4 linked regions of the Tamandua tetradactyla genome follow. The protein of the gene in region 4 binds, or shares a complex with, the protein of the main gene of each other region. Links are inferred from orthologs where the notes say so. Each region holds a gene or a part of one and is shown on either strand. Other genes may lie near its edges.

Region 1 (6,864 bases), on a different chromosome or scaffold from region 4:
TGGTGGCTCACTGGCAAGAGCTCTAGCCTGCCATGCCAGGTTCGATTCCCAGTGTCTGCCCACATGAAAAAAAAAAAAAAAAAAGCATTGGTGAGGACCTGAAGAAATAGGAAGCCTTATACATTACTGGTGGGATTGTAAGATGGTATGATGACTTTGTTTGACAGTTTCTCAAGATTTTAAACATAGAGTTACTATATGATCCAATTCTACTCCACCGAAAGAAATAACCTACATCCACTTAAAAATTTGTACATGAATGTTCACAGCATTATTTATAACAGCCAAAAAGTGGAAACAACCCAAATATCCATCTACTGATGAATGGATAAATAAAATGTAGTATATCCATATAATGGAATATTAATGACTAATAAAAAGGAAAGAGGTATTAATACATACTACAAAATGGATGGACCTTGGGAATACTATGCTCAGTGAAAGAAGCCAGTTACAAAAGACCACATATTGTAGTAGTCAATTTTTATTAAGTGTTGAGAATAAGCAAATCTATGAGACAGAAAATATATTACTGGTTGCCTATGGCTTGGGGGGGGCTAATTAGAGTTAGAGAACAGGAAGTGATTGCTAGTAGGTATGGGTTTCCTTTTAGGGAAAGGAAAATGTTCTAAATTTACAATTGCAGTGATGATTGTACAACCCTGCGGATATATTAAAAACCTTCAAAGTGTACACTGTAAATGGGTGAATTATATGGCATGTGAATTATAGCTCAATAAAGCTGTTAGAATAGTTTTGAAAAAGTAGGATTTAAAACATTACCATGATTTCATATATGTTAAATCAAATTTCTACAATTTTTTTTGTTTGTATGCTGTATGGCAGGGTCACATTTCATTCTTTTTCCATGTGAGTAGCCCGTTATTTCAGCATCATTTGTTGAACTTTGTTTATTTTAGTTGGTTTGTTTTCTTTGTTTGGGAAGTGCATGGGCCAGGAATCGAACCCCAGTCTCCCCATGGTAAGCCAGAATTCTTCCACTGACGTACCCTCGCATCCCCAATTTCTACAAATTTTTAAAGTCAGAAAGAAGAGATAACGACAGAAAAATATGGACTTTACACAGTTCTCATCCTTAAGATATTAATCTATTACTTTTATATTCAGGCAATTAAGCTTTTCATACAGAGATTAAATGAAGTATAAAAGGTCAAGAAGCTGGTGGTGGAGAGTCACACTTGAACCTAGCCACTCTGCCCTTCTTACCCAATTGGGTTCTTACTCAATTCTCTATATTCAGGGCTTGCCCGGGATTCTCAGTGAGGCCCTGTCCACTGTTCTCCTTCAGCTGCTAGGATCCTCATCTTCCGCCCCCTCCCCAAGTTTGAATAAAGCAGTCTCCAGCACCCTAGGCCTGTCATAGTTCCCCCCAAAATGTTCACTGTTTCTCAGACCTTACTGTCTTTGTCATGCTGGGACCTGTACGCGGATGGCAAAGCGGACTCGGGGCAGGCAACTAACCATGATGTTGATGGTTGCAGAGTCCAGCAGGATAGCAACTAAGGATAGAACATAATAAGAACGCAGTTGAGTACAATTGGATAAACCACGGAAACCCCACCCCACAAATTAACATGCCATTTTCAACCCTCTGAACTCACATCCGGGTCTGCCCACCTAAAGAACTATCTAGGCCCCACCCCTCAAGTAATCATCCTAGGTCTGCACCACAAAAAAACCATAAAGTTTTTAAAACAATTATTTTTAGAGCACTTAATTTATTTTAGAGCACTTTTAAAAATACATATTTTTAAGGGCGGGCAACGGTGGCTCAGTGGCAGAGAGTTCTCCCTTACCATGCTAGAGACCCGGGTTTGATTCCTGGTGCCTGCCCATGTAAAAAACAACAACAAAAAAATATGTATGTATTTATAGAACACCAGTTGCAGGTTTACAGAAAAATCATGCAGAAAGTAGAGTTCCCATACACATCCCTTCACACCCAGTTTTTCCCATTGTTAACATTGCATATTGTAACATTTGTTACAATTGATGAACCAATAACATTATAATTATATTATTAAATAAACTCCATAGTTTATATTAGGGTTCAAAATTTGTGTTGTACAGTTCTACGGGTTGTATTTTTAATGGTGGCAATACATATACAAGCTAAAACTCCCCATGTCAACCACTCGCAAGTATACAAACCAGTGTTATTCATTACATTCACAGTACTGGGATGCCATCACCATTACCAAATTTTCCCACCACTCCAAACAAACACTGTACAGTGTAAGCCTTTAACTCCCCACTCCCCACCCTGCCACTGGCAGCCTACATTCTAATTATGTCATATAATAAGATCATACAATATTTGTTCTTTAGCGTCTGGCTTATTTCACTCAACTGACGTCTTCAAGGCTCATCCACGTTGTAGTATGTATGAGAACTTCATTCCTTTCTAGGGCTGAAAAGTATTCCACTGTGTGTATATCGACCCCACCTCTTAATTCATAATCCCAGACAGGGCTATGTGAATAATACTACAGCCCGTGTCTAAAACGCCCCAAATCCCATCCCCTCAAATAATACCCTTAGATACACCTGGGAGAGTGAAAATCCAGGATTGGGCTCCCAAACATTCCAGGCCCGCCCTCTGAACCTCAAAAATGCCTGACATTTCAAGCACCGTCTGCTCCTTAACTGGCATTCCACGCCCCTCTTCTACTTTATCTCCTCACCGCAATAACCCTCCAGCACCCGCCCCCTCAGAAAACAACAATCGAAGACCCGCTGGCGGAAATAATTATCCAGGCCCGCCCCGCCCACCCCCCTTACAGTTCTGGCATTGCCTACTGGAATTACCCATGCACGGCGCACTTCCTACACTAACAATCTAGGATAACACCGGGTCCCGCCCCTGGGACGCGATGCCAGCCCCGCCCCCTCAACTCACGCCTCTGGGCCCCAACCAGGGGAAGTACCCAACGATCTGGGTCCTGCCGCCTCCAAAGCACCCAGCAGCTCCCCTTCTTCCCCGCCTCCCCAGAGGACCGCGGCAGGGTCACTCACCCTCCTTGGGGCGCAGGCGCAATGTTGCTCCTGCCCTGCGCGCCAGGGCCGCCACGTCCGCCGCAGCTCGGGCCGCTAGGGGGCGCGCGTCGAGCCGCGCCAGGAGCTGCCGGGCGCTGGCGCCCGCGGGCGGGGCAGGGCCGCGGCCTGAGCGGGAGGGGGACAGGTCAGCGCCCACCCTCAGCCTCGGAACACCCCCATGCTTCCAGACGTCCGAAGCCTAGATGCCCCTCGAGGTCCCCGGACACCCCTGACCACTCACTCCCTCGATAGTTCCGGAGGACATCGACTGCCCCTCAACCTCTCCCGCGCCCCCCGACCGTCTCGGGTATGCCCGTGGAACTCCACTCGCCCCTGGAGACAGCCGTTTCGCTGTACTATTCCTGGACACCTTCAACCACTCGCTGCATGCTTCTGGAGGTCCACGACTGCTCCCCAATTCCCTGGGGCTCCAAATGCGCCCCCCTCAATATCTCCGGAGACCCTGATGTCCCCAAGATGTCCCGAGACGCGATGTCGACACCAGGAAACCCGGGATCCCCGAATCTGCTTCCAAATATCCTGGGGTCCTCAGCCACCCTGCACAAATCCCTTGGGAGGCCCCGATTCCCTAGATATTCCCCGGAACTGCAGACTCTCTCTCTGCAGAGGCCCCGAGCTCCTCCTCAAGCCCCCATTCACCCCAAATCCTGACTGCCGGGGTGTGCTCAGGGACACCGGGAAGCCCGACCGCGCCCGTCTCCCCGGAGACTCCGGAGTGAGCCGGGATCTGGGGCGCGGACCCCTAGAGTAGGTGTGGGTAGGGGGTCTCGGGCCCAGCCCTGGTAGCTGGGCCGCTGCTCGCCGCCACTTGGGCGCCAGAACTGCTGCGTTTACAACCTGCAGGAAGAAAGGCCGGGCGAGGGCGCGGGCAGAGAGCGCGCTCCCCTCTTCCTCCCCCTGGTACCTCCTCGGCCTCCCCTAGGGTCCGTGGCGCCTTCCCGGCGCGGCTCCAAGGCCCGGAGGCGGCCGGGTGGACGTAGGGCCACCAGCGACGCGGTTCGAGCTCCGGGGCACGCTCACTTGGCGACCGGCCTGGGCCTGGACGCAGCTGAGATCGGCCGCTCCCGGCCAGGCGCCCAGCCCCGTGCGGTGACCTACCTGGCGGCCGGCGAGGAGGCCTGGCTGTGTGAGCCCGCACGTGCACTCCGCCTCGCTCGGCCTCAGGCGCTGCCTCTGTTTACTGACCACCGGGGCTGGGCTCCTCTTTCCACCGACGGTTTGTTCCTATCCCGCTTATTCCTCTAAGTGATAGGGAACAAGGGTCTGGGAGAAGTAAGGGCCCCGTCTAGGGTCTAACAACTAAAGATGAAGATGCACAACTGGAACCCAAGTTTGCCAGGGAACTCTGCTGCCTTCAGCAGAGCTTTGCACGTAGTCGGCCTTCTGTAGTTTGCGGTGAATCTTTGCCTAAGACGGTCCCTACTGGGGAAACGGAAGGGTATGGTGGGGCTGGGAAGAGGCACGGCCTTGGAGTCTGTGGGGTCGCGGGGAAATTTGGGTCCCTGAGCATACTGGGGGTGGGGGAGTCAAAAAATGGGGAAGGGCAGGTGCTCTGGAGAGTGGAGGGGAGGTGGAGGCCTGGACTAGAGAAGGCTTGGAAGACCCTGGGGTGTTATGTGACACTGGCCATGGGGATTGAAGCCTGGTCTAGGGTTGAGTTTGAACAGGGGTGTCTGAACATATCGACCAGAATGGAGAGCCCTTGGGCAGACTGCTGCTGCAGTGGAGGGAGGAATGAGGTTGCAGTGAGAGAGGGCCTCAGACTGCCACTTTGCAGAAGAAGAAACTGAGGGTCCCAGGGGCTCAGACACTTGCCTGGCTAGGCATCCCCACCGACCACCCTGCAATCAACCAACACAGAGCTGACCTCAAGCTGCTTACCCCTGAGCACTCAGTTGGTCCATGGCTGTTTCACCAAGGCCTTGGACACAGTCTGATGGTATGATCTCATTTATATGAAATAACTAGAATATGCAGATTCATAGAGACAGAAAGTATATCACAGGTTGGGAGCAGGTAGAGAGTTAATGCTTAATGGGTACAGTTTCTGTTTGGGGTCTTGAGAAATTTTGGTATTAGATGATGATGGAAGCACAACTTTGTGAATGTAATTAATACCACTGAATTGTATACTTGAAAGTGGTTAAAATGGGAAATGCAGTTAAAATGTACATAGATTATCACATTTATGTGGTTTTTAAAAATTTTAATTAATTAAAAAAACTACAAGAAACACAAACATCCTTAACATTTGCTCATTCCGTTCTACATATATAATCAGTAATTCACAATATCATCACATGGTTGCATATTCATCATCATGATCATTTCTTGGAACATTTGCATCAATTCAGAAACAGAAATAAAAAGTCAACAGAAAAATAAAACGAAAACAAAAAAAAATTATACATACCATACCCCTTACCGTTCCCTTTCATTGATCACTAGCATTTCAAACTAAATTTATTTTAACATTTGTTTCCCCTATTATTTATGTTTATTCCTTATGTTCTACTCGTCTGTTGACAAGGTAGATAAAAGGATTATCAGACACAAGGTTTTCACAATCACACAGTCACACTGTAAAGCTATATCATCATACAATCATCATCAAGAAACATGGCTACTGGAACACAGCTCTACATTTTCAGCAGTTCCCTCCAGCCTCTCCATTACATCTTGGATAACAAGGTGATATCTACTTAATGTGTAAGAATAACCTCCGGGATAACCCCTCGACTCTGTTTGGAATCTCTCAGCCATCGACACTTTGTCTCATTTCACTCTTTCCCCTTCTGGTCGAGAAGGTTCTCTCAATCCCTTGATGCTGGGTCTCAGCTCATTCTAGAGTTTTTCTCAATCCCTTGATGCTGAGTCTCAGCTCATTCTAAGATTTCTGTCCCATGTTGCCAGGAAGGTTCACACCCCTGGGAGTCATGTCTCACGTAGACAGGGGGAGGGTGGTATGTTGGCTGGAGAGAGAGGCCACATCTGAGCAACAAAAGAGGCTCTCTTGGGGGTGATTCTTAGGCCTAAATTTAAGTAGGCTTGACCTATCCTTTGCGGGGTTAAGTTTCATATGAACAAACCCCAGGACTGGGGGCTCAGCCTATAGCTTTGGTTGTCCACACTACTTGTGAGAATATCAAGAATTCAACTGGTGGAGGTTGAATTTTTCCCCGTTCTCACCATTCCCTGAAGCGGACTTTGCAAATACTTTCCACTCATTGATCAAATCACTCTGGGATTCATCGGGGCATCACTCTGGACAAACCAACAAAATTTCATGTCCTACCCAAAGTTCCATGTACTTATGTTGTTCAACCAACTATCTACATAAGTTATATTAGGAGATGCACTAGTCAAAATATAAATTTTGTACCAAACAAACATTTTTTGCTTTAGTATCACACATAAGTTGAAATTTTAAAATATTGATTACCATCAATTTTCAGCACCCTGCAGTAATGACATTCCTTTGTTCTTCCTCATGCAAAAATATTTTTTAAAGTTGCACATTTAGTCACTATCATTCTACACTCTAGACATTCCTAGATTACACCATCTCAATGTTTATTGTCTATCTTTGTTTGTGATTTCATTTACGCCCCCAGCCCTCCTCCCTCTATCATCCTCACACTCAGCTCCATTCAGTGTTTTAACATAGTTGTAATAGAGTTAGGTAGTACTGTGCTGTCCATTTCTGAGTTTTTATATTCAGTCCTGTTGCACAATCTGTATCCCTTTAGCTCCAATTACCCAATATCTTACCCTATTTCTATCTCC
Region 2 (7,049 bases), on a different chromosome or scaffold from region 4:
TTATCGGAGCCAGAAGGAAGCATTCAATGGCTCTGCAACCGGATGCCTCCCCACCCCCTCTCGTTGATCCAAGTTCCCAGGTGACGGGGAGAAGAGCCTTAGGTATTTTTACTATTACTGCTGTTGTCACTACTTAGAATCTGGACTATAAATAAAGTGTCAAAGGCACAGCCCAGAGTTGGGATTAGACTCAGCAGCATCACTTCCTGGATGTGACACCTAGTGGAGGCACTTCACCCTTCTAAGCTGAGGTTTTTTCCACGGTGAAATAGGGTTAACAGGCTCTTCCAGCCTCAGAGGGTAGGAAAGAAGTTCAAACGACAAAACAAGTAAACATGGGCACACGAGACAGAAAATAATTACTAGCAGCTGTCACTATTGAATACACCTTCTCGCACTAAGGGGAAGATTGAGGTGAGTGAACACAGACAGAGCCCACATCTGGAACTCCAAGGATCAGATTTATTTTCAGATAACTGAGTATTAGAGAATAAAGACAAGGGAAAATTAAATTTTCAAAGATCTTACCTACAGTGGTCAAAAGGTAGACGACGAAAGTTTGTTTGTGGGATATCTATTTAAAATCAAATTAAAAAAAATGTTTCCTATAAACAAATTTCAATTACTCACTCCCACCAACAATTCAATTACATTTTAAGAAAAAGGCCATTTAAATTACCTAGTGAAGTAACTGCTGTGGATTAAAACACTTTTAAAAGCTAAAACCAAAACACATCGTTCCTCAGAGAGGCATGAGCACACACTTGTTTAAATTCCTACAACAGGTTCTATCACAAGCCTAACAAAGGCTCCTGTTCTAGTGCTTTGCTTTCTGAGGCAGCTGTGCCCTCCACTCCCATTAGCAATGTATGACAGTGCCCTCTTTACTGCTGCCTGGATAAATCTGAGTATTACTGTTTTCTTGATTTTTCTTTGATAGAGACAATTATTTTAAACTTATAAAAAAATCACCACTGAGATTAAGTGCTTTGTTGTATGTCTCAGTATGATTTGTGAGCTGCCTGGCTTCTCAATTCATTTGTCTACTACAGTTTCTGCATTCTTGTCCATTTTTACAGTCCCAGAGAAGAGTGAAGATGTCACTCTTTAATAAAGAGCTAGGTGGGGGGAGGTTACAGAAGGACCTCTGGCCTTACCTGGCTTCTTGCCACCATAGAAGTGAGTATATTCAGCACAGGTGATGTACCTGAAGGTGAGAGGGAGAATGTTACCACCACCATCCCCTTTGCATGAAGAGCAGAGTCGCCATCATTCCCTCACTCAGCAGATGCTTATTAAACACTAACTATATGCCAGGCACACAGTGATGAACACAACAGACTGGGGGGTTCACAGACAAGCGAGTAAACAAATGTAAACAGTCCAGCTTTGCCCTGAAGGAAATGAACTGAAGGTAACAGAGCACCTGATGATAAGAAGGAGCTAATTACATGAAGATTTGGGGGAAGAGCTTTCCAGGCAGAGGGCCCACCAGGCATCTCACCAAAGCTAGGGGGTGGGGGGTGCAGGGAAAAGCTAGGTGTAGAAAGGAGATGTCACTGGAGAAGAGTAGCACAGTTGAGTGTGACACAGGTGAAAGCGATGACCACAAATGACCCGGCAGGCCATGGGAAATACTCCAGATCTGTTCTAAGTAGGATGGAAAGTGGTCGGAAGACTTTGAGCAGGGCCCTGCTATGATCTACAAAAATCTTAAAAGAATCACTCTGGCTGCTGTGTATAGGGAGACAAGAAAGAAAGGAAACAGAAAAAAACAATCGGGCAGTGACTACAAAGTTCCAAGAAGGGGTTGGAGCAGTGGACAAGTGAGAAGTGGTCAGTTCCTCCAAGAGTCAGCAATTCTTGCCAAGGGACTGGGGAACAGAGTTGAGCGAGCTAAGGGAAAGAGACATTAAGGCTGACTCCAAGATTTCTGACCTTAGAGTATGACCACTGAGGTAGGAAAAATGGAAAAGGAGCAGTTTCAGGGGCTGGAAATGAGTTCCATTTGGGGACATATTAAATTTGAGATATCTATCAGCCCTCCAAATGGGGACGTTAGGTGGGCAGCTGATTTTGACACGACTGGGATCACCTTAGGATGACCGGGTGAAATCATCCTGGGGGAACAAAAATGGAGAAGAAAAACTGGGCACACCGATCAACAGGACTCTGGGAGAGAGACAGAGGCAGGCCAACAAAAGAGACTGAAAGAGACCACTGAAGGAAAACAAAGAGCACGTGTGTCCTAGGTACCAAGGAAAGGATTCAGAGGCAATGGTAAAGGATGTCAGAGGCTACTGAGAAGTACAACCAAATGAACGGTGAGGTTAAGACCACTGGATTTCGCAAGATGGAAGTCACGGGAGACCCTGACAAGAGCAGTTCTAAGGTGCTCAAGTCCAACTGGGGTGGCTTCAGGAGAAAGTGGAAAACAGCAAAGGAGACACACGTATCTTACATCGTGTTACCAAAAGATTCAAGGAAACACGGTGGCAGCTGGAAGTGTACATGGGGCACAGCAAGTTTGGTTAGTTTTAATTCTGCAGCAAGTGCGTACGCGGGTGGGCGTGAACCAGGAGAAGAGTAGATGCGACAGAGACGAACTTCAGAGGCAAAGCTCTCAAGAGAAAGGGGACGAGGTTCCCGCACACCCCCGCAGCTGACCGCCTCGGAGCGGAGATTCTGCGGAGGCGGCGGCGGCTGGGGCCACGACCGCGCCGGGGTAGACGGGGAGGCCTCCGGGAGGAGGTGACATTCGCGGTGGGCCCTGGGTTCCAACCCAAGCTCGCCCGTGAGAGGGGAGGGGAGCGAGGTGCGGGCCTTGGCGCTGAGGCTGAGAGGGGCGCCCCTCCCAGCTGCGACCCAACTTACATTTTGTCCTTCTGGTGCTGTCGCTTCCCCATGGTGGCGGCAGGCCCGGCTGGAGGAGTGACAAGACGCGGGAGAGCTTGCACCTAGGCCGAGCTTCCGTAGCTGCTTCCGGGACGCGCGGTCCTGCCCCGGAAGTGGGCCCGGGGCATGCCGGGATATAGGTTTTTGGCGCCCTCGGAGCTCGGAACCTGGTACCCGCTATGAGTCCTTCGCTGGGAAGCCTTGTCTTCTCCAGGTCCTCTCTCCCGCCTGCCCGGCCCTGGCTCAGTCCCTTCCCGGTTCGAACCCGCCCTGGGCGTTTTAAAAGGCCCTCCCGGAGCCTCCAGTCCCAGCAGCCTCACCCTATCTCCCCTCCACCTCTGGCGCGTTCAAAGCGACGTCCACACTCGCTCACTTACGGTTCTCCCCACCCGATCGGCCCCTCTCCCTCTGAGACCCAGCGGCGGGAGGCCACCAAGCTCTCACCGGCCCCTCCCTTGTCTCCTGCCGGACCCTTCCCCACGACCCAGACGGCACTTGGAGGCGTCCCTAGCCTCAGCCCCGGGCCTCCGTATACCAGGTTCCCGCTCGTCTAGCCCTGGTTCCTGGCAAGTGTATTCCTTGTCCCCCCACTCCAGACTCCTGATCTTCCCCTGGGTACTCACTGATGTCAAATTTAACATGGCCGGTCAAGGCCCGATCTCCATTCCCCCCTCCCTACCACAGTCTCTGGCTCTCCTCGCTACTACCATCTGCCCCAGTACCCCTGTGGAAGGTAGAACTACGTAGCCCAGAAGAAAATACCTTCATCTGCATCCTATTGCTGTGGGTGTGAATCTATTGTAAATAGAGCTTTTTGAAATTGTCATTTTTAGTTAAGTTGTGACCAGTTGAAGCAGGATAGGTTTTAATGGACCGTATAGAGAGTAGCAGAAAGCCAGAAGAGAAAGGAGAGGACATGGCCATGTGACGGAAAAGCCAAGGAATCCCAAGAACTGCCTGCCCCCCCATCCCATCCCAATGCTACCAACCCTGGAGAGAAGATTTTGATGAGTGCTGAATGGAAATTAACCCCAAACTGATTGTCCTTGCCATTTTTTGTTTCAGGGCTGCTTTTTGCCCTCTAGATTTCAACCCAAAGGACACTACCCTATCCCAGGTAGCTCCCCAGACATGTCCATCTCAGCTCCCACAGGACTTAGCACAATTTGGCATCTCGGAGGAATCTGATCTGTGTACTGGTTTACCACCCCTCCACTATGCCCATGCCCTCAGAAGCATGGATGTAAATAAGCTTCTTAAGAGCAGGGGACCTAAACTGCTTGGTTTATTATCTCCACTCCCAAGCAAAGTGTGAAACACACACAAGGGCTCAATTAAGCATTTAGAGAGGACTCACATCTCACAGGCAAGTTGGGTTCTAAGGTCAGCCTGTGAGGTGATGAGTCCCACAGCTTTGAAACTGCTTAGGAAGGTGCCAAGCTGGAAAGTGACGCACCAGATCTCATTTTCCCACATCCCAGTTTCTAAACCTGTGCACTGGCAAGGCTTGTACAAGGGCCACTTGTAGGAAAACCCCTCATTTCCTTTTCAGAGGTACAAGGCTGAATCCCCATGCAAGGGAACTCAGCAGTCGTACTGGCCACCAACTGTGCAGGCTCGGGTCGAGGGGCCTCAAGCTCACAGTAGCCTGTCCACCTCTCCAGGCTGGAGGAGCACATGGGATTGAACAACCCCTGGCAATCCCGGTTCCCCAGCCCCCAGCACGAGCTAGGCACCTCCACGGGAACTTTATTCACTCCTGTCTGCAGGGAAGTGTGGTTAGGGGCTCCTGTCATGGGACACAAACTCCGCACTGCCAAAGTCGTTCTCGGAGTCTTCGCTGGGCCTCGGCACAGGCTGGAACTTGAGCAGGACAGGCGGGGTGAAGATGGAGGCCTTCGGAGGTGGGGGCGGAGCCTCCTTGGTGTTGGGGGAACCACTACAAGCAGGAGTCCTGCACAGGAGACATCCAAGACACATCCGTGAGGTGGGCCACGAGGCCACCAAAGCCCCAGCCTGTGTGGGATGCTTCACCACTCTCGGACTCGTTGCTACTTCCAGAAATCTTTCCTGTGGATGTGGGTGGAAGGCTGTTCAGTGCAGCAATGGCTACGGTTATAAACACCAGGAAAACAGATTGTTGAATTGATCCGCTCCATGCAGCTTTCAAGGGAATGGGCTAGGTCCACTACCCAATAAGTAAAGGTGTTCAAGATGGCACACTAATAGAAAAAAGCAGGCTGCTGTAAAGGGTATGAACAACGATCCTACTTTGTTCCTTTGATCTCATACAGTAGATGAAGTTCATTTAAACGACCCAAACGTGGAGCCCAAGATGGGAACAAGGGCTTGTAATTCTGTATAGCTTAACGTAATGTCCAGATATATCCCAGAGCATCTTGGGCAGATAATTAAAAAGTCTTGGCAAAGTCCTTTGAGGACAGGAGAAAAAATATGGAACTATTAAACTTTCCCACCTAGAAACCCCAGATGCGCTCTTAAACACTAGGGACTCCCAAATAGGCCAAGTCCCTGATCTTGAGGCTTGCTCTTATGAAGCTCATTTCTGCAGCAGAGAAGCTAAGCCTACCTATAGCTATGCCTAAGAGTTACTTCTAGGAAATCTCTTTGGTTACTCAATGTGACCTGTCTTTCTAAGCGCAACTCTGCAAGGAAAATCATTACCCTACTCCCTATGTGGGATGTGACATCCAGGGGTGAAAGTCTCCCAGCTATGTGGAGATGACTCCCAGGGATGAGCCTGGCTCTGGCACTTGGGGTCAACAATGCCATCCTTTCCAAAAGGGAGAAAAGAAATGTAACAAAATAAGGTATCAGTGGCTTAGAGACTTCAAATGGAGTCGAGAGGCTTTTCTGGAGGCTACTCTAATGCAAGCATCAGCTAGATAGTGCAATTGCCACAGTCTGCCAAACCCCAACTAACATCATTCCTTTTAACCCTAAAGAACACCCGGGGCTCTATCTGAGATCCTACTAAAGTTGCACATGCTATATTTACTCTCCAGAAACCTACAATCTCCAGATGGTTCCTAGGCCAGATAAGTGCTGAAACCCTGAGGAGCTGGTTTGTCCATGAACATCAACCAGTTCTGTCCCCCTATCCCATATTATCACCAGCCCTTTCTGCTTGAAAAAAGAATGGGCATAACTCAAATATCCGTAAAGATTGGGAGAAGGATCAAAGGACAAGGAGGAACTAAACAGAGATGTTAGGATTTAACAAATGAATATAACTATTGAATGATTATATTTTGATATTTTAGTCTCCAGTATCTTGGAGCAGCTGGAAGGAAACACTGAAATTGTGGAATTGTAACCCATACCAAACTGAAATCTGTTCTATAACTACTGTTACAATGTATTTTGAAATTGATTGCTTTTTTCTGTATATATATTTCACAATTAAAGAGTTGTCCTACTTTGGTTAAAAGTTTTAATAGGGGCGGGCCACAGTGGCTCAGCAGGTAAGAGTGCTTGCCTGCCATGCCCAAGGACCCGGGTTCAATTCCCGGTGCCTGCCCATGTTAAAAAAAAAAAAAAATTTAGCAGCGTAGTTAGGTGTGTATGTATGCATGGGTGAACATTTTGGTACACGCAAAGCTTTAGCAGTGTTTACCAATGAGGGGGGACTCTTGCATTTTACATTATTTATTGCTGTCTTGTGAACTTGTTTCCATGGAATATATCCTCCTGCTTTTGTCAATATTTTTGAACAAATTAAAAACAAGCCATTTTTTGGCAATGACACAGCTGACTCAGGGAATAATAGGTACCAAGAGCCAAGAAATCTCCCCATCATTGAAAATTTTCAACAAGAATAATTAAGTAAGTAATGTTCCATCCATGTGACACAATGTTTTACATCATCGTCGTTGAATTTAAAGGTATTTTTATGGCATGGGAAGAAACTCACACTCCAGAGGCAACTAAAAAAACTGGAAACTGTGTAATGGGACAGTCCCAACTATGTAAAAACAACTACATGTCTGTATTTACATGTGTTCCCATGGGAAATACATGTTAACAGTGGTTATTTCTGGGGATGGGAATAAGAGTGACTTCTGTAGCTTCTTTAAGCTTTGGGGTAGTTTTCAAATTATCTAAAATAAATACTTAGTGTCTTATGAATCTAA
Region 3 (6,977 bases), on a different chromosome or scaffold from region 4:
CTCCACCAAATAAACTGTCCCATACTTATTAACAGCAAAATTCCAGACATCTGTAAAATTTTTATACCTCCCACTTCTTCAGACTAACCTCCTTCATGAAGTATTCATCTCAAAGTTAACCCAGCACAAGCTGGGAGTGGGTACTGTGTAAACAGCAAGTCAATATACCACATTCTAAAAGAGACAGCATAATCAAGTCTAGCCTGAAAGATTTGGAACTTTTACTCACTTTAAAACAGCTGTGATATCCACACAGGGCTTGTTAAAGATGAGGAAGTTCCCCCATTATCTGCCATTTCTGCAGAGGGAGATTTTAAATACAGTTATATTATTCTTCATACTAAAATCTTAAATTTCAGAAATTCCTGTTGAGCTTCCCCAAAAAGGACTTACAGAATTCTGACTTCATATTTTGCCCTAATACTAAAAAGAAAAAAAACATTAATAGTCTTCAGATACATTTCAAATAATTATACTGAATCACTGAAAGTTATTAAAAAAGAAATCCAAATTTTGAGACAAAAGAAAATGATCATTTAAAAGACCAAAGGAAATTACTCAAAAGTGAGTCCACTTGAACTGTCCTTATCAAGAAGGTTGCTACCACAGGCACCTGTGGGTACCTGAGGCACCAGGACAACAACTCAGATGAGACTGACCGGAAGGGGTGATTTCCTCACACCAACGCCTCGCACTGGCTCAGACACTAAGACCAGGAGGCCCTGCACCTCCAGCACCTTGGCCGCACCTTGGCCGCACCTGGTGCAGCAGTGAGGGCCTGGGTGTCACCTGGTGCTTACGCCGCCAGCTGCAAGGCAGAAGAGCAGATCCCAAATGATTTCAGTCAACACAGCAAGGCTGAGCTTCTGAGGGATGGCTCCCAGTGCCCTCTGCTCTGCCCCAGCAGTGCTCAAGCGATGTGTACTCGTTGTGTACTCACCCGCTGGTGCCCTCGCTCCTGACCTCTGACCCCAGTTTCTGAGAGTTCTGCTGTTCTCCTGAAATTCTCCGGGAACCTGCTGATGCGCTTCAATATCTCAAAGCACTCCTACCCTAACTCTTACCTTCAGTGAAGTTAAGGTGTGGCCCGTGATCAAGTCATATCAGAATTCCCTGGGGAGCTTCTTTAAAAAGCAGTTTCTTGGTCCCCACCCCAGACCTATAGAGTCAGAATCTCTGAGATGCATTTTAACAAGCACTTCAATGATACTTACGACTTCTAAAACATAAGAACAGTTCCTAAAGTTCACAAAGCAACACCACTACCTCACTCTTTTCTTCTGACAAGACAGGGCAGTAAAAATGAACAAATGGAGGGCCAATAATTTTTCCTTTCCTCGATAAAATATTTATAGCTTGTTACTAGTTCTTCAAAGCAGTCATTTAAACCCAGCCATCATTAATGCATCTCCTATCTGCGTCAAAGACAAGAGCGTATCAGTGATTATATTACTTTTACTCTCCAGTAAAATGAATGACCATCTCAAATGATTTATGAAACGATAATTTTACTATTTATGAACATGTTCATAGCTTTATCTCTTGCCCTACTGCTACAATTTCAAAAACTTAAATAAAAATCAACCTAAAAATTCCAATCAGGAAAATACAGAAAACTAAAGCCCTGGGTATGTACTAGTGCCCTACAATGGCACCTTTGTCTTCATCAAGTTAAGTACTAGACTCCCCAGTACACTAACATTAAAAATCAGGGAAACCAGTCCTAAAAAAGCACAATTCTATTTTTCTCCTAATGTCACCTGAATTTCAATCATTCAAAGATATAAATCAGGTGACTTACAAAGAACATGCTATGATGAAGGGAAAAAACCATTACCAAAACAAAAAGAAGTCTTTACTGTTATTAACATAAGGGTTCTGTTTTATAACTAAAATAAACAAGGTGCCAAAAAAAGAGCTCATCCTTTTTAACTCAGCTATTTAAAGCATCAATGCTCTAGCCAAAGTCTGCAAATTCTTTTTTTCCCCATTGCAATGCAGATGTAAATTTTGAAACACATCTAATCAGTACAAATTATTCACTTATTTGGGAAGGGATCATGAACCTCTAAAATCTGAGGAAATTCCTGTAAACTTCTCCCGGAAAAAGATGAAGCCTTCTGTGCCCTCTCAGGGAGCACACCCTCCCCTCCCGAGGCACGGCTCTGCACGCCGCCCAGTCCTCTCTACCCGCGGGGCGTGTCTGCACATCAGGAGACAAGGGTTAGGAGCCACCCACGCCGGCTGCGGGACCCGGAGCGCACCTTCTCCGCGATGCTGTACAGAACCTCGTCCATCTTCATGCAGGTGGGGTCCCAGTCGTGCCCAAAGCGGATGACGACGACGCGGTCCTCCTCGGACAGGATGGCCTGGTCCACCTGCCAGCCATTATGCAGGTGCGGGAGCATGTACGACATCCTGAGGCTGCGGCACCTCGCGCTCACCTGCGGGCGGTAGGCCGCGTCGCCACCCTGCCGGCTCCGGCCCGGGCCCCAGCCCCCGCCTCCGCCTCCCGGGCCGACTCGCCCACGACGGGGACCCCGGCGCGCGGCCCTGCGCGACCTCCCCTTCCCCACGACCCCCTCGACGCTCCCCTCTCAACCCTCCCTTCCCCCGCACCCCCTCGGCCCTCCCCTCCCTTCCCCACGACCCCCTGGGCCCTCCCCTCCCTTCCCCCGTACCCCTCGGCCCTCCCCTCCCTTCCCCACGACACCCCCGGCCCTCCCCATCCCCTCCCTTCCCCCGCACCCCTCGGCCCTCCCCTCCCTTCCCCACGACCCCCACGACCCCCTCGGCCCTCCCCCCTCCCCTTCCTTCCCCACGACCCCTTCGGCCCTCCCCTCCTGCCCTCCCTTCCCCCGACCCCGCCTCGGCCCTCCTCTCCTCCCACACCACGCGCCCCAGCGCCCGGCCGCGCGCACCTCACACCACACCGGAGCGTCTCGCCAGCCACCCGCGTCTGCTCCGCGCGGCTGTGCCCGGAACCTCTTGCGTGCGCGCGCTGACGTAGCGGGTGCGCGCGCGAGACCCCGCGTGCGTGCGCGCCCCCGCCGACCTCGGCCTGGGGAAGGGGGGCCCCGGGGTTGCTCCGCCCTTTCTTGGGTGCCGCCGGGCCTGGCTTTTGTCAGCCCACGTGCGTTCCGAGAGTTGGGACATTTTTAAAAAAGCATCGAAATAGTCATCTTTAGAAAAAGCAGGGCTTTATCGAGCTAGTTATCATATACATAACTGTGTATATCATATATGCACAAATATTTGACGTCAGGGAGACTGAAATTTTGTTTTTAACATCTTGGTGGACAGGACTGAGTAAAATTTCCGCACAGACAGCTGCCACTATCCTGTGAGTTTGAAATTATTCCGAAATTAAAAGTTTAAAGAAGGGCGGGCCACGGTGGCTCAGCAGCTTGTTTGCGATGCCAGAGGACACGGGTTCGATTCCCAGTGCCTGGCCATGTAAAAAAAAAAAAACTGACAAAAAAAGTTTAAAGAAGATAAGAATACAGCACCGCCAATGAAGCACTTGAAGCTGCCCAAAAAGCCACGGATCTTAGTGGTTTACAGTGGAACCCTGCCTTCCCAAAGCTATTGCAGGGCTAGACCAGGATTTTCAAAAACAAGGATGCAACTTAATCAATTTTATTGTTCTAAAAATTATGGACATTTTTAGGAAGAGCTGAAGTATTTTCTGTATTGTTAATATATACATTTATTTAAGTGTTTCATAATTTTTCTTCTTTATACTTTGTGCATGTCTTATGTACATATATATTTGTAAAGGAGCTCATGCACATAACATAAACTTGCTCAAAACTTTCTTCTGATGTGCTGTGTTACCAAGTGGGGAGACCACTAGCAGGAGAATGAAACCAAGACTTGGTATTCAGTTTCCTTTGGAAGCATATATTCTAAAATGCTATGTTATTTAATGACAATTTGTGAGGCTATAAACTAGAGTAGACATAAATTCCTAAACAAGGAACCTCTCCCCACAACTGTAGATGTATCTTAAGGTGCTCGTGCACATTCCTTGGCACAATAGCTATCCATACTAGAACCACTCCTGCTATCAGTACCTTCAAAGAGGCATATTTAGGATCTTGCAAATCCCAATTTGACTCTATGCCTTCCTAGTTCTTGCCCTATATAACCACTATAATCTGCTGGGTGGCACAGGGCACTACTCTGAATGTCCTGCAGCCACCTAGGACCAGTTTTCTGGACTGTAAATTCCCTAATAAATTGTTACCATTTTGCTGTTTGGAGTGATCTGTTTCATTTTTCATGTTAAGTGCCCATTGAACTTCAGCAGGACCTATTCTGTAGGTTCACAGCAGGACACAGTTTAAATATTAGAATCATTCTTAGTAGAGAATCCATAGAGTGCAATTCACTGACAGATTAAGTTTTTATTACATAATATAGAATCTATTCCACGTACGTATGACTCAAGATCTTTTTTTTCAGAGATCATCTAACCCAACTTCTTTCATTTTATAGTTGAGTCAAGTACAGAGAGGCATTGATAGACTACAAGCATAGTGGTTAACAGTGTGGACTTTGGCTACAGAAAGATGCTGGGTTCCAGGTCAGCTCTGCCTCAGATAAGTAACCTCTCTAACCTTCAGTTTGCTCATCTGTGAAAGGGGAAGAAAAGACAAGGTTATCTGTGTGCGTGGAGATGTGGTGTGTACTGGAGAAATCTCAGCCCTTATTGTTGTCACCAACTCTGGCCTCACTAGTCCTACACAGACACCCAGCAGTGATGCTTTTCAGAAATGAAACAGACCTTACTTGTCACCAGCAGTTGATTAACAGTGCTCTAAGCTAATGCATAAGGCTCAAAGGTCCCCAAATAATTTATTGAAACTATTTTGTTTACATTTTTCTAAATAGCTTTCATGAGCTATAATTCACTGTCTTAGTTTGCCAGTGCTAACAATGACAAATAACACACAGTGGTTTGGCTTAAACAACAAGCATTTATTGTTGGGGCTTTGAAGGCTATTAAGTCCAAAATCAAGATGGCAAGGCCATGCTTTCTTCTGGAGTTTCTTCTGGCTTCTTGTGGGTCAGGTTTCAACTGACTCACTGCATCTGTATTTCCTTTCTTTATAAGGCCGCCTGTCATACAGATTAAGACGAACGCAGATTAGATTTGACCACAACTCAACTAATAATAAAATCTTCAAAAGGTCCTATTTTAAAATGGGTTCACACCCACAGCAACATGGATTGAGATCTGAGCACGTCTTTTGTGGGCAATGTGATTCAATCCCCCACATTCACATACTATAAAATCACCCAATTAAAGTGAAGGGGTTTTTCACCCTGAGAAATCTACAGTAAAGCTACCTGAACTAATAAACAAATTCAGCTAATTGGTGATATACAAGATTAATATACAAAAATCAGTAATGTTTCTATACACAAGCAATGATCTATCTTAGGTGGCACGTAAGGGAAAAAAATTCATTCAAAACACTGACCAGAAGAATCAGATGTCTAGGAAGAAGCCTGACCAGGGGATGCCAAGGACTTGTACACAGAAAACTACAAAAAATTGCTAAAAGAAATAAAAAATGACCTAAATAGATAGAAAAAACATCCCCTGCTCATGGATAGGAAGGTTGAATGTCATCAAGATGTCAATTCTACCCAAACTGAGCTACAGATTCAATGCAATACCAATCAAAAGCCCAACAACCCTACTTTGAAGACTTGAAAAAGCAGGTTATCAAATTTATATGGAAGGGCAAGTGACCTGAAGAGCTAGAGATATCCTAAGAAAGAAGAACAAAGTTGGGGGACTCTTCCTGACTTCAAAGTTTACTATAAAGCCACAGTGGTCAAAATAGTATGGTACTGACACAAAGACAGAAGGTTTGACCAATGAAATAGAATCCAGAGTGCAGAGATAGACCACCAAATTTATGGACACTTGATCTTCGATAAGGTCCCCAAATACACTGAACTGGGACAGAATAGTCTTTTCAATAAATGGGCATGGGAGAATTGGATTTTAATAGCTAAAAAAATGAAAGAGGACCTCTACTGTACACCCTATAAAAAATAATTCAAAATGGATTAAAGAACTAAATGTAAAAGCCAGTACCATAAAACTTCTAAAAGAAAATGCAGGGAAACATCTTCAAGATCCAGTAATAGAAGGTAGCAGCTTAGACTTTATACCTAAAGCACAAGCAGTGAAAGAAAAAATAGACAAATGGGAACTCCTTAAGAGCAAGAGCTTCTGTGCCTCAGAGGACCTTGTTAAAAAGATGAAGAGGCAACCCACACAATGGGAGAAAATTTTTGAAAACCACATATTGGATAAAGGTTTGATATCTTGTGTACATAAAGAAAATTACATAGCTCAACAACAAAAAGAATAAGCAACGCAATTATAAAATGGACAGAGGATATGAATATACACGTTTCTGAAGAACAAATATAGGTTGCTAAAAAGCACATGAAGAGCTGCTCATCTTCATTGGTTTAAGGGAGATGCAAATTAAGATGACAATGAGATATCACCTTACACCTTTAAGAATGGCTGCTATTAAACAAACAGGAAACTACAAAAGTTAGAGAGGATGTGAAGAAATTGAAACACTTATTCACTGCTGGTTGGAATGTATAATGGTACAGCTGCTGTGAAAGTCGGTTTGATGGTTCCTCAGTAAACTAAATGTTGAGTTGCACTATAACCTGCCAATACCAATACTTGGTATATGCCCAGAAGAGTTGAGGGCAGTGACATAAACAGACATTTGCTCACCGATGTACATAGCGGCACTGTTCACAACCGCCAAGAGATGGAAACAATCCAAGTGCCCATCAACAGATGAGTGGATAAAAAAAATGTGATATATACGATGGAATATTATGCAGCACTAAGACGAAATGATGTCCAGAAATATATGACAACATGTTTGAACCTTGAGGACATAATGCTGAGTGAAATAAGGCAGACA
Region 4 (7,749 bases):
TCCTGACTGGTAGTTAAGAATCTGGCAATAGATCTTAATAATATCTAAGGCAGTTGCTATTCTAGAATCCCCTTTCCTTCCTATTTGCTAGGACTGTGAGTATGGATCCCCAGGAGGGCCTCACAACTTTGGGAAAAGAACTTTTCTCTGTCCTCATTACAAAAAGTTGGAGATCTCGTCTTGCTAAATCAGCTCAACACTTGCCTATATGAGGAAGGTATTCCCAAACCAGAACTTACTTTCCAATTAGTAATATAATCTCTTCTGTATTTACCACACATACCCCAAGTTCTATACCCAAGATCATTTAGAATTCTCACAACCTCACTTTAGTTTGTTAGCAATGTAGTTTGTCATGTTTCCTCATTTTCAGAGATAATCAATCTACACTGATCACAGATAAAAAATAATCACTACATGGTAGAGTGCAATTACATCAGATTCAAAAACTGTCTTACATATCAGTCGATCAAATCCTGCAGATGCTAAAGTGGATCCATTGGGGTGAAACTTGCAACAATACACTTCCCCTTCATGTCCGGAGAGCAGCATGATTGGGGCTTGAAGAGAGGAACACCTTGGAGGCCCCTAAACAAAAGACAGAAACACAGAGTACTCACTGTATATAAGCAAAGGAGGCTGAAAAATTTGAGGGTGGTGGCGGGGAGTAGGAAGAGAGAGAGAGGGAGAAGAGAAAACGATGGATGGAATGGATTTCAGCTCTTTTCACATCATGCATGCCTCTTTTTTTTTTTTTTTGCTGCAAAAAACTTTTTTATACTTGGTTCATGGTTTGTCATGTCTCAATACGATACTCTTCTGTTGAACATTCCAATGATCACCTGCTACATTAATTCTTTCTCTCCCTCCCTCTGCTGCTGTCCCATAGCCAACATTTCTATTATTCAAACATTAAACTTATTTCTGTTGCAGGATCTTTGCATTTGTAGTTTCCCCTGACTCTTCCCCACCTGTATTCCAATCACCTACTGTACTTCATACAGTACATACCACTTTATATATTAATATAAGGTGATTCCTTATATATATATTCCATACACACACACACACACACACACACACACACACACACACACACATCCATATTCCTTAATCACCATCTGAAATTACCTTTCTCATATATTTGTTTATATATTTCGTCTGCTTCTCACACTAGAACAGTAGCTCCATGACTGCAGGGACTTTGCCTGTGTCATTCAACAATCTTTTCCCAATGTCTGGTGCATTTAATGAGTGAACGACAGAACTGAGCTTAACAACAACCCTGCAGGGTAGGGACTCCTGCAGAAAGTAGGATTTGATTATGGCCCTGGACACAAAGCCTAGGCTTGAGCAATTCACTTTCTAAACCTGGGCTGATGCTCTAATTTGTTGGTAGGAAGAACAGGCACACTAACAATAATCTCCACATCTCTTCAGTGGTTTCCAGCTTATTTATTCATTAAAAAAAATATGTGCCCAGGAACTGCAAAAACATCTGTGAATAAAATCAATAGAGTTTACATTCTGGTGGAATGGGAAAGAGAAAAGTTTAAAATATATATATATTACATACAATGGTATGTACAATAGGGAAAAACAGGAGGAATGTGGGATAGAGAGTATGGGATATTGCAATTTAAAATACTGTGGTCGGGAAAGAACTCACGGAAAAAGTGATATTTACACAAAACTGAAGAGCTGAGAGTGTAAACCATGCAAGCATTTAGAAGAACATGCTGACAAAGGGATGAGCAAATGCAAAGGCACTGAGGCAGGAGCATAGAGACCAGAGCAAGGAAAGAAGATTGATGTATCAGAGAGGTAGAGGGAAAAGTGGGCAAAAGATTGTGAAGTTTTTGGTTTTTACTCTGAGTGAAATGGAAAGCTGGACTGAGAACAGATTGTAGAAAGCAGGAGCTGAAACAGTCAAGACTGATTAGGACCATACTGCAAAATCTCAGATGAGACAAATAATAGCTTAGACCAAGAGGAAGCAATAGAGATGATAGAAATAGCAATTCTGGCAGGATTCGCTGATGGGTTGGTTGAGGGTTTGAAAAAAAAAAAAAAGAGAGTACATATATTCTTTCATCTGATTCTCACAGCAGCAGAGGAGAAGTGGCCACTACTTCTTCACGTTACAAGAGCAGTTAAGAGCATGGATTGTGGAGTCAGACTGCCTGGGTTCAAGATCTATTTCCATCACTTTATTTGATAAGAGTTTGTTGTTCCATTTGCAAAATGGGATAATAGTTCCTAACTCCTAGGCTGTTACCAAGATGAATGGATATCACATACACAAGGCACTCAGCACAAGGGCTCCATGAATACTAACTGTACTATCCAGTTCATAATATTAGTACAGAGAAATAAAGGGAAGCTGAAAGAGGGAAACCAACTTGCCCGGTCCCTAAGGGAGCCAATAACATTCATTTCATCGCATTCTCCCTTCACTCACTCACGCATTTATTCACTCTACAAATTTCTACCAAATGTTTATTCTATCCCGGATCCCTGGAAAACTTTGGAAGCCTAAGCCGCGGCCCTGAGGCCAGCTATGAGCCTATGGCTCTTCATTCCAATTCTACTGCCACCTCCAGGGCGGTCGAGATGCTGAAAAAGGGCATCAAACGCGGGAACACGTATCGAGCATCTGTAGGGTATAGGGCGCTTTTAAAGAGTTTAACTCCAGGTCAATATTCTCGTTCCTCTCCCGCAATGCGGCATCACTCGGTGTGGCGCTCTGAGGAGAGAGCAAGAGAAGCCGAGCAGCGAAGGCCACCTGTTCCTTTTCTTACCGCTTGCAGCAAAGCTCCTGGCGTCGTCTGCTGCTGCCCGGTTCCGGGGCCCGACCCCGCCGCTCCCAAAAGCAACTCATGCCGCTGCCGCTTGACTGGGACAAGTGGTAACTCAGGGCCCTTGCGCTTCTGCTGTTCTATCATGGCGGCAGCCGCTCCTCTCAGTGCCAGTAGGGACCGAGGCGGCACGCTTCCACACAGCGCGATTGGCTCGAACTTAGCCTTTCCTTTAGAACTTCCGGCTTGGAGAACCCAATCATCTCCCAATAGGCTGCGTCGCTTTCGGGATAGTCTCTTGTTATTGGGCAGCTCTTCCTAACATCACGAATGCCCGACTTCAGGGTTGGCGGATGAACCTGGAGTCCCGCCTACGCGCGCTGTGTCTTGTGGGTATAAACGCGCCGACTGGGTTCGGCTTTTCGCGCAATGGCGTGGCTGGCTGTCTTCTACTTGACGCCGAGTAAGTATAAGGAAGCTAGGGGGTGGCTACCCGAGTCTGGAGGCAGCGTTTTGGTTGTGGGGTTTGAGCATGGCCCTTCTCAGTTGAGGGTCCTGATTTCTATCCCTGGTAAGTAGTAGCATGGGCTCTCCTTCCTGGCGGGAGCCGAGGTTTGGGCTGTCTGGCGGCAGGACCCAGACCCTGTAGCTGCCGGGTGGGGTGTTGGAGGGACCTCGACGACTGACTTGGATAATCGCCCACTTGTGTCCAGTCATGTGTGGGGCGCTCCCAGGAAGATAAGGCCTGTCTCCTAGACTCCCTGTCTGAGGAGGTGAGGCTTGTTTCTGCAACTGACTGTACAGTCTTTCATTAGAGTCTCCCCTATGCCGCTGAGAGAGACAGATGAAGAAAATATCCGCCTTCTGCTTCTCGAGAGCGCAGTTATATTGAGAAGCTTGAGACTCACATCTGTGAACTAGGTCCTCTTCTCAATCATTCAACTAATATTTATTGTGCGTTTGGGAGACGTTGTGAATCAAATAGTCCCTGACGTCAGGGAGATTGAGTCTGGTGGAGAAAACAGATGTTAAACAATCTAACATCTCTTTAGTTAATGTAAAATAAGTGCTACCTCGGACAGCTATCTGACGCTTTGAGTGCTTAAATATGCAGGAAGCCTTTTCTGAGAAAGAGATGCCTGAGCTGAATTCCAAATAATTAGGTGAAGAGAGGAAGCCACAGCATTACATGGGTGACTGACAAAAGGCACAAAGAGGCCAGTGTGACTGCTTCAAAGATAACGAGGGGAGAGTGGTACAAGATGAAATTGGAGGCGGTTAGAAGGTTAGGCCCTGCAGAGATCTGTAGCTTTTATCTTAAGATGAGATGGGAATCACTGAGGGTTGGTTTTTTGGGTGGGTGGGGGGGGCTGTATGTGTGGAAGGGGCGGTGGCTTGACCCCTTTGTCTCAGTGGTGTGAACAGATTGAAGGTGAGCCGTAGTGAATTCAGATAGACGACTTAGGTTCTGCAGTGGTCCTGGTGAGAGATAATTGGCAATGAGGACTGACATATCTTGGTGGACCTGTGGAGAATTGAACAGATTCTAGAGATATATAGGAGGTAAAATGGTTAGGACTGGTGATGGGTTGGATTCCTGAAACTTAAGAGAGAGGAAGCAAAGATAAGCCCTAGGTTTCTCATGCAGCTGAATACGTAGCAGTACCATTCAGTGAGGCATTAGAATATCTTGTAGTGTTCAATGGAACGCTAGAAAATGACTAGAAACTAGTTTGTTAGTTTTGTTCCTTGGGTTTTTTATGGAGGGATTCATTTGTGACATCTAGGAGGCAGTTGAACTTTGGAGCGCAGAAGCCATGCTTGTGTTGAACATAGTAGATTTGGGAGTAATCTAGGTGATAATTAAGTAGTATGTGTGGGTAAGATCACATGGGTCAGAGCCTTGGGAAGTTCCAACATTTAGTGGCCAAGAACAGGAGGATGAACCTACAAGAGAACGAGAGGAATATTCTTTTAGAAGTAAGGGAATGATCTGTGTCAGAATTTAAATAGCATGAGGATCAAAAAAAGTCTGTTGTCTTTATTATGAAGTTCTTGGTAACCTTGGCAAGAGTTATTTTGTGATGGAAGCCAGATATGAGACAAGGATCCAGGCAATCAATCTAGACATTATTTTAGAGAGGATGTGGTAGCTAAAGGGGATGAGGAGTTACCAAGGATCCAATTGAGAGGACAGAGTTGAATATTCAAGAGAGAAATTGGGTCACCAATAGCGTAAAATTTCTGAGAAGGTGGGAGGGGATGGGATCCAAAGTATAGGTGGAGAAAGCAGCCTTAGGAAGATGGATTCATTATCCATTTAACAGAAGGGAAGGAGGAAATGAAGGTATAGATAGAGATTGTATGTTTGGTACTGGTAAGATGAATTGTTTTCTCATGGCTTTTATTTTCTTTGTAAAGTGAGAGGTGGAATTTTATGCTTAGAGTGAGAGTAGGTTAGAGGTTTGAGTAGATTGAAGAAGATTTGAAAGTCATTGTAGAGTGTGGGAGAATGTGTTTACTAGAGAAATGTAGGATTACCAGGCAGAGTTAAGGACCCATTGGAGATTGGAGATTATACTTTTTTTTCCCCCAGCAACACTAGGCTGTTTAGTACAAGTTTGGCAAATATTGTGGATTTGGCTGGCTCAAAACACGTTCCTGCTTCTAGTGTGCCTTCTCTTACGGAAGAGGCTAGAAAGCGAAAAACTATTCCAATTCTTTCCTAAGAATTGAATTTGGAACTGGATTAATTGTGGAGAGAAGCTGAATGTGAGGCATCAGGTTTTTTTTTTTTAATTAAAAAAAAATTATAAGAAAGAAACTCAAACCTTCTTAACATATGCTCATTCCATTCTACATATTTAATCAGTAATTCACAATATCATCACATAGTTGTATATTCATCATCATGATCATTTCTTAGAACATTTGCATCAGTTCAGAAAAAGAAATAAAAAGACAACAAAAAAAGAAAATGAAAACAAAAAGAAATTATGCATACCATACCCCATACCCCTCCCTTTCATTGATCACTAGTATTTCAAACTGAATTTATTTTAACATTTGTTCCCCCTATTTATTTTTATTCCATATGTTCTACTTGTCTGTCGACAAGGTAGATAAAAGGAGCATCAGACACAAGGTTTTCACGATCACAGTCACATTGGGAAAGCTATATCATTATACAATCATCATCAAGAAACATGGCTACTGGAACACAGCTCTACATTTTCAGGCCATTCCCTCCAGCCTCTCCACTACATCTTGAATAACAAGGTGATATCTACTTAATGCATAAGAATAACCTCCAGGATAACCCCTCCACTGTGTTTGGAATCTCTCAGCCATTGACACTTTGTCTCATTTCACTCTTCCCCTTTTGGTCCAGAGATTTTCTCAATCCCTTAATGCTGGGTCTCAGCTCATTCTAGGTTTTCTGACCCATGTTGCCAGGAAGGTCCACACCCCTGGGAGTCATGTCCCACGTAGACAGGGGGAGGGTGGTGAGTTTGCTTGTTGTGTTGGCTGGAGAGAGGCCACATTTGAACAACAAAAGAGGTTCTCTTGGGGGTGACTCAGGCCTAATTTTAAGTAGGCTTGACCTATCCTTTGTGGGGTTAAGTTTCATATGAACAAGCCCCAAGACTGGGGGCTCAGCCTATAGCTTTGGTTGTTCACACTGCTTATGAGAATATCAAGAATTCAATTGGGGGAGGTTGAATTTTCTCCCGTTCTCACCATTCCCGGAAGGGGACTTTGCAAATACTTTTCCATTCACTGATCAAATCACTCTGGGATTCATTGGGGCATCACTCTGGACAAACCAGCAAAATCTCATGTCCTACCCAAGGTTTCACGTACTTATGTTCAACCAACTATCTACATATGTTGTATTAGGAAATGCACTAGTCAAAATATAAATTTTGTACCAAATAAACATTTTTTGCTTTAGTCTCACACATAAGTTGAAATTTAAAAATATTAATTACCATCTGTTTTCAGCACCCTGCAGTAATGACATTCCTTTGTTCTTCCTCATGCAAAAACATTTTTAAAATTTGTACATTTAGTCATTATCATTATACACTCTAGGCGTTCCTAGATTATACCATCTCAATCTTTATCATCTGTCTTTCTTTGTGATTTCGTTTAGAGGCATCAGGTTTTGCTGAAAAATATAGCAGAGGCAATGAGTTTTCCAGTCAACAGCCACCTGCTTTGGTGACTTTCTGCAGTGATGGCCATACCTTTTTGATCATGGCAAACATGATATTATTTTGTGGCTTAGGAGTTGGGAAGTTCTGCCAGGGCCTGCTCCTATAGCCCTTCCATTAATTTTGTAAGTCATGTAATACCTAGATATAAATTCCTTTTTGCCTAACCTAGCTGGAGTGGGTTCTTTTGTCTGAAACTATACCTTTCCAGACTCCAGTTCTTTCTACTCTACATCCTTTAGATATTAGAATGCTTTCCTCCTTTCTCCACCTCTGCTGGGCACATAGTAAGGCTCTATTTATTCATTCGAGAAAACTTTGAGTACCTACTGTATTTGGCACTGGGAATACAAAATCATATAAGAAATGATCCTCGATTTCATGTTTGAATAAATTAATCCAGACCCTCCTCATCTTAGCCTCCCTCATGAATGATGTCCTGCTCGTGACTCTTCAGTGATTCCTCTGATCTTGAAGTTAGTCTTAGAGCTGTCTTTACAAAATTTAGACATGGTCTGATATTTTTTTCTTTGTTACTACTTTTTAAAAAAAATTGTGCTGCTATATATATTGATCACTTCAACCATTTTTAAGTCTGTGATACACTGCCATAACTACAAATCACGGTGTTGTGTAACCATCACCGCTCTTTATTTCCAAAACTTTTTCATCACCCCAATCAAACCCTTATATTCCTTTAAGCAATAAATCTCCATTCTTCCCTACCCCCAGCC

The links.
Region 1: SNRNP40 (region 4) and GPKOW share a complex: the UniProt entries of both Homo sapiens proteins name them as parts of the minor spliceosome. The link is inferred for Tamandua tetradactyla from reciprocal best matches to the Homo sapiens genes SNRNP40 and GPKOW.
Region 2: SNRNP40 (region 4) and PPIL2 share a complex: the UniProt entries of both Homo sapiens proteins name them as parts of the minor spliceosome. The link is inferred for Tamandua tetradactyla from reciprocal best matches to the Homo sapiens genes SNRNP40 and PPIL2.
Region 3: SNRNP40 (region 4) and TXNL4A share a complex: the UniProt entries of both Homo sapiens proteins name them as parts of the U4/U6-U5 tri-snRNP complex. The link is inferred for Tamandua tetradactyla from reciprocal best matches to the Homo sapiens genes SNRNP40 and TXNL4A.

Annotation. Positions count from the first base shown.
Region 1 is NC_135353.1:121,047,276-121,054,139, reverse strand, and holds the start of GPKOW (G-patch domain and KOW motifs-containing protein), read right to left. Parts: upstream 3,012-6,864; 5' UTR 2,949-3,011; intron 1,521-2,948; 5' UTR 1,483-1,520; exon of another isoform or gene 1,416-1,482; intron 1-1,415. UniProt on the Homo sapiens protein: RNA-binding protein involved in pre-mRNA splicing. As a component of the minor spliceosome, involved in the splicing of U12-type introns in pre-mRNAs.
Region 2 is NC_135331.1:26,294,569-26,301,617, forward strand, and holds the start of PPIL2 (RING-type E3 ubiquitin-protein ligase PPIL2), read right to left. Parts: upstream 3,016-7,049; 5' UTR 2,907-3,015; coding exon 2,875-2,906; intron 1,208-2,874; coding exon 1,158-1,207; intron 575-1,157; coding exon 529-574; intron 1-528. Other genes in the region: uncharacterized protein LOC143682994, read right to left, coding at 4,675-4,849. UniProt on the Homo sapiens protein: Has a ubiquitin-protein ligase activity acting as an E3 ubiquitin protein ligase or as an ubiquitin-ubiquitin ligase promoting elongation of ubiquitin chains on substrates.
Region 3 is NC_135344.1:2,383,115-2,390,091, reverse strand, and holds the start of TXNL4A (thioredoxin-like protein 4A), read right to left. Parts: upstream 3,007-6,977; 5' UTR 2,922-3,006; intron 2,445-2,921; 5' UTR 2,418-2,444; coding exon 2,265-2,417; intron 299-2,264; exon of another isoform or gene 230-298; intron 1-229. UniProt on the Homo sapiens protein: Plays a role in pre-mRNA splicing as component of the U5 snRNP and U4/U6-U5 tri-snRNP complexes that are involved in spliceosome assembly, and as component of the precatalytic spliceosome (spliceosome B complex).
Region 4 is NC_135328.1:194,558,386-194,566,134, reverse strand, and holds the start of SNRNP40 (U5 small nuclear ribonucleoprotein 40 kDa protein), read right to left. Parts: upstream 3,009-7,749; 5' UTR 2,946-3,008; coding exon 2,802-2,945; intron 589-2,801; coding exon 459-588; intron 1-458. UniProt on the Homo sapiens protein: Required for pre-mRNA splicing as component of the activated spliceosome. Component of the U5 small nuclear ribonucleoprotein (snRNP) complex and the U4/U6-U5 tri-snRNP complex, building blocks of the spliceosome.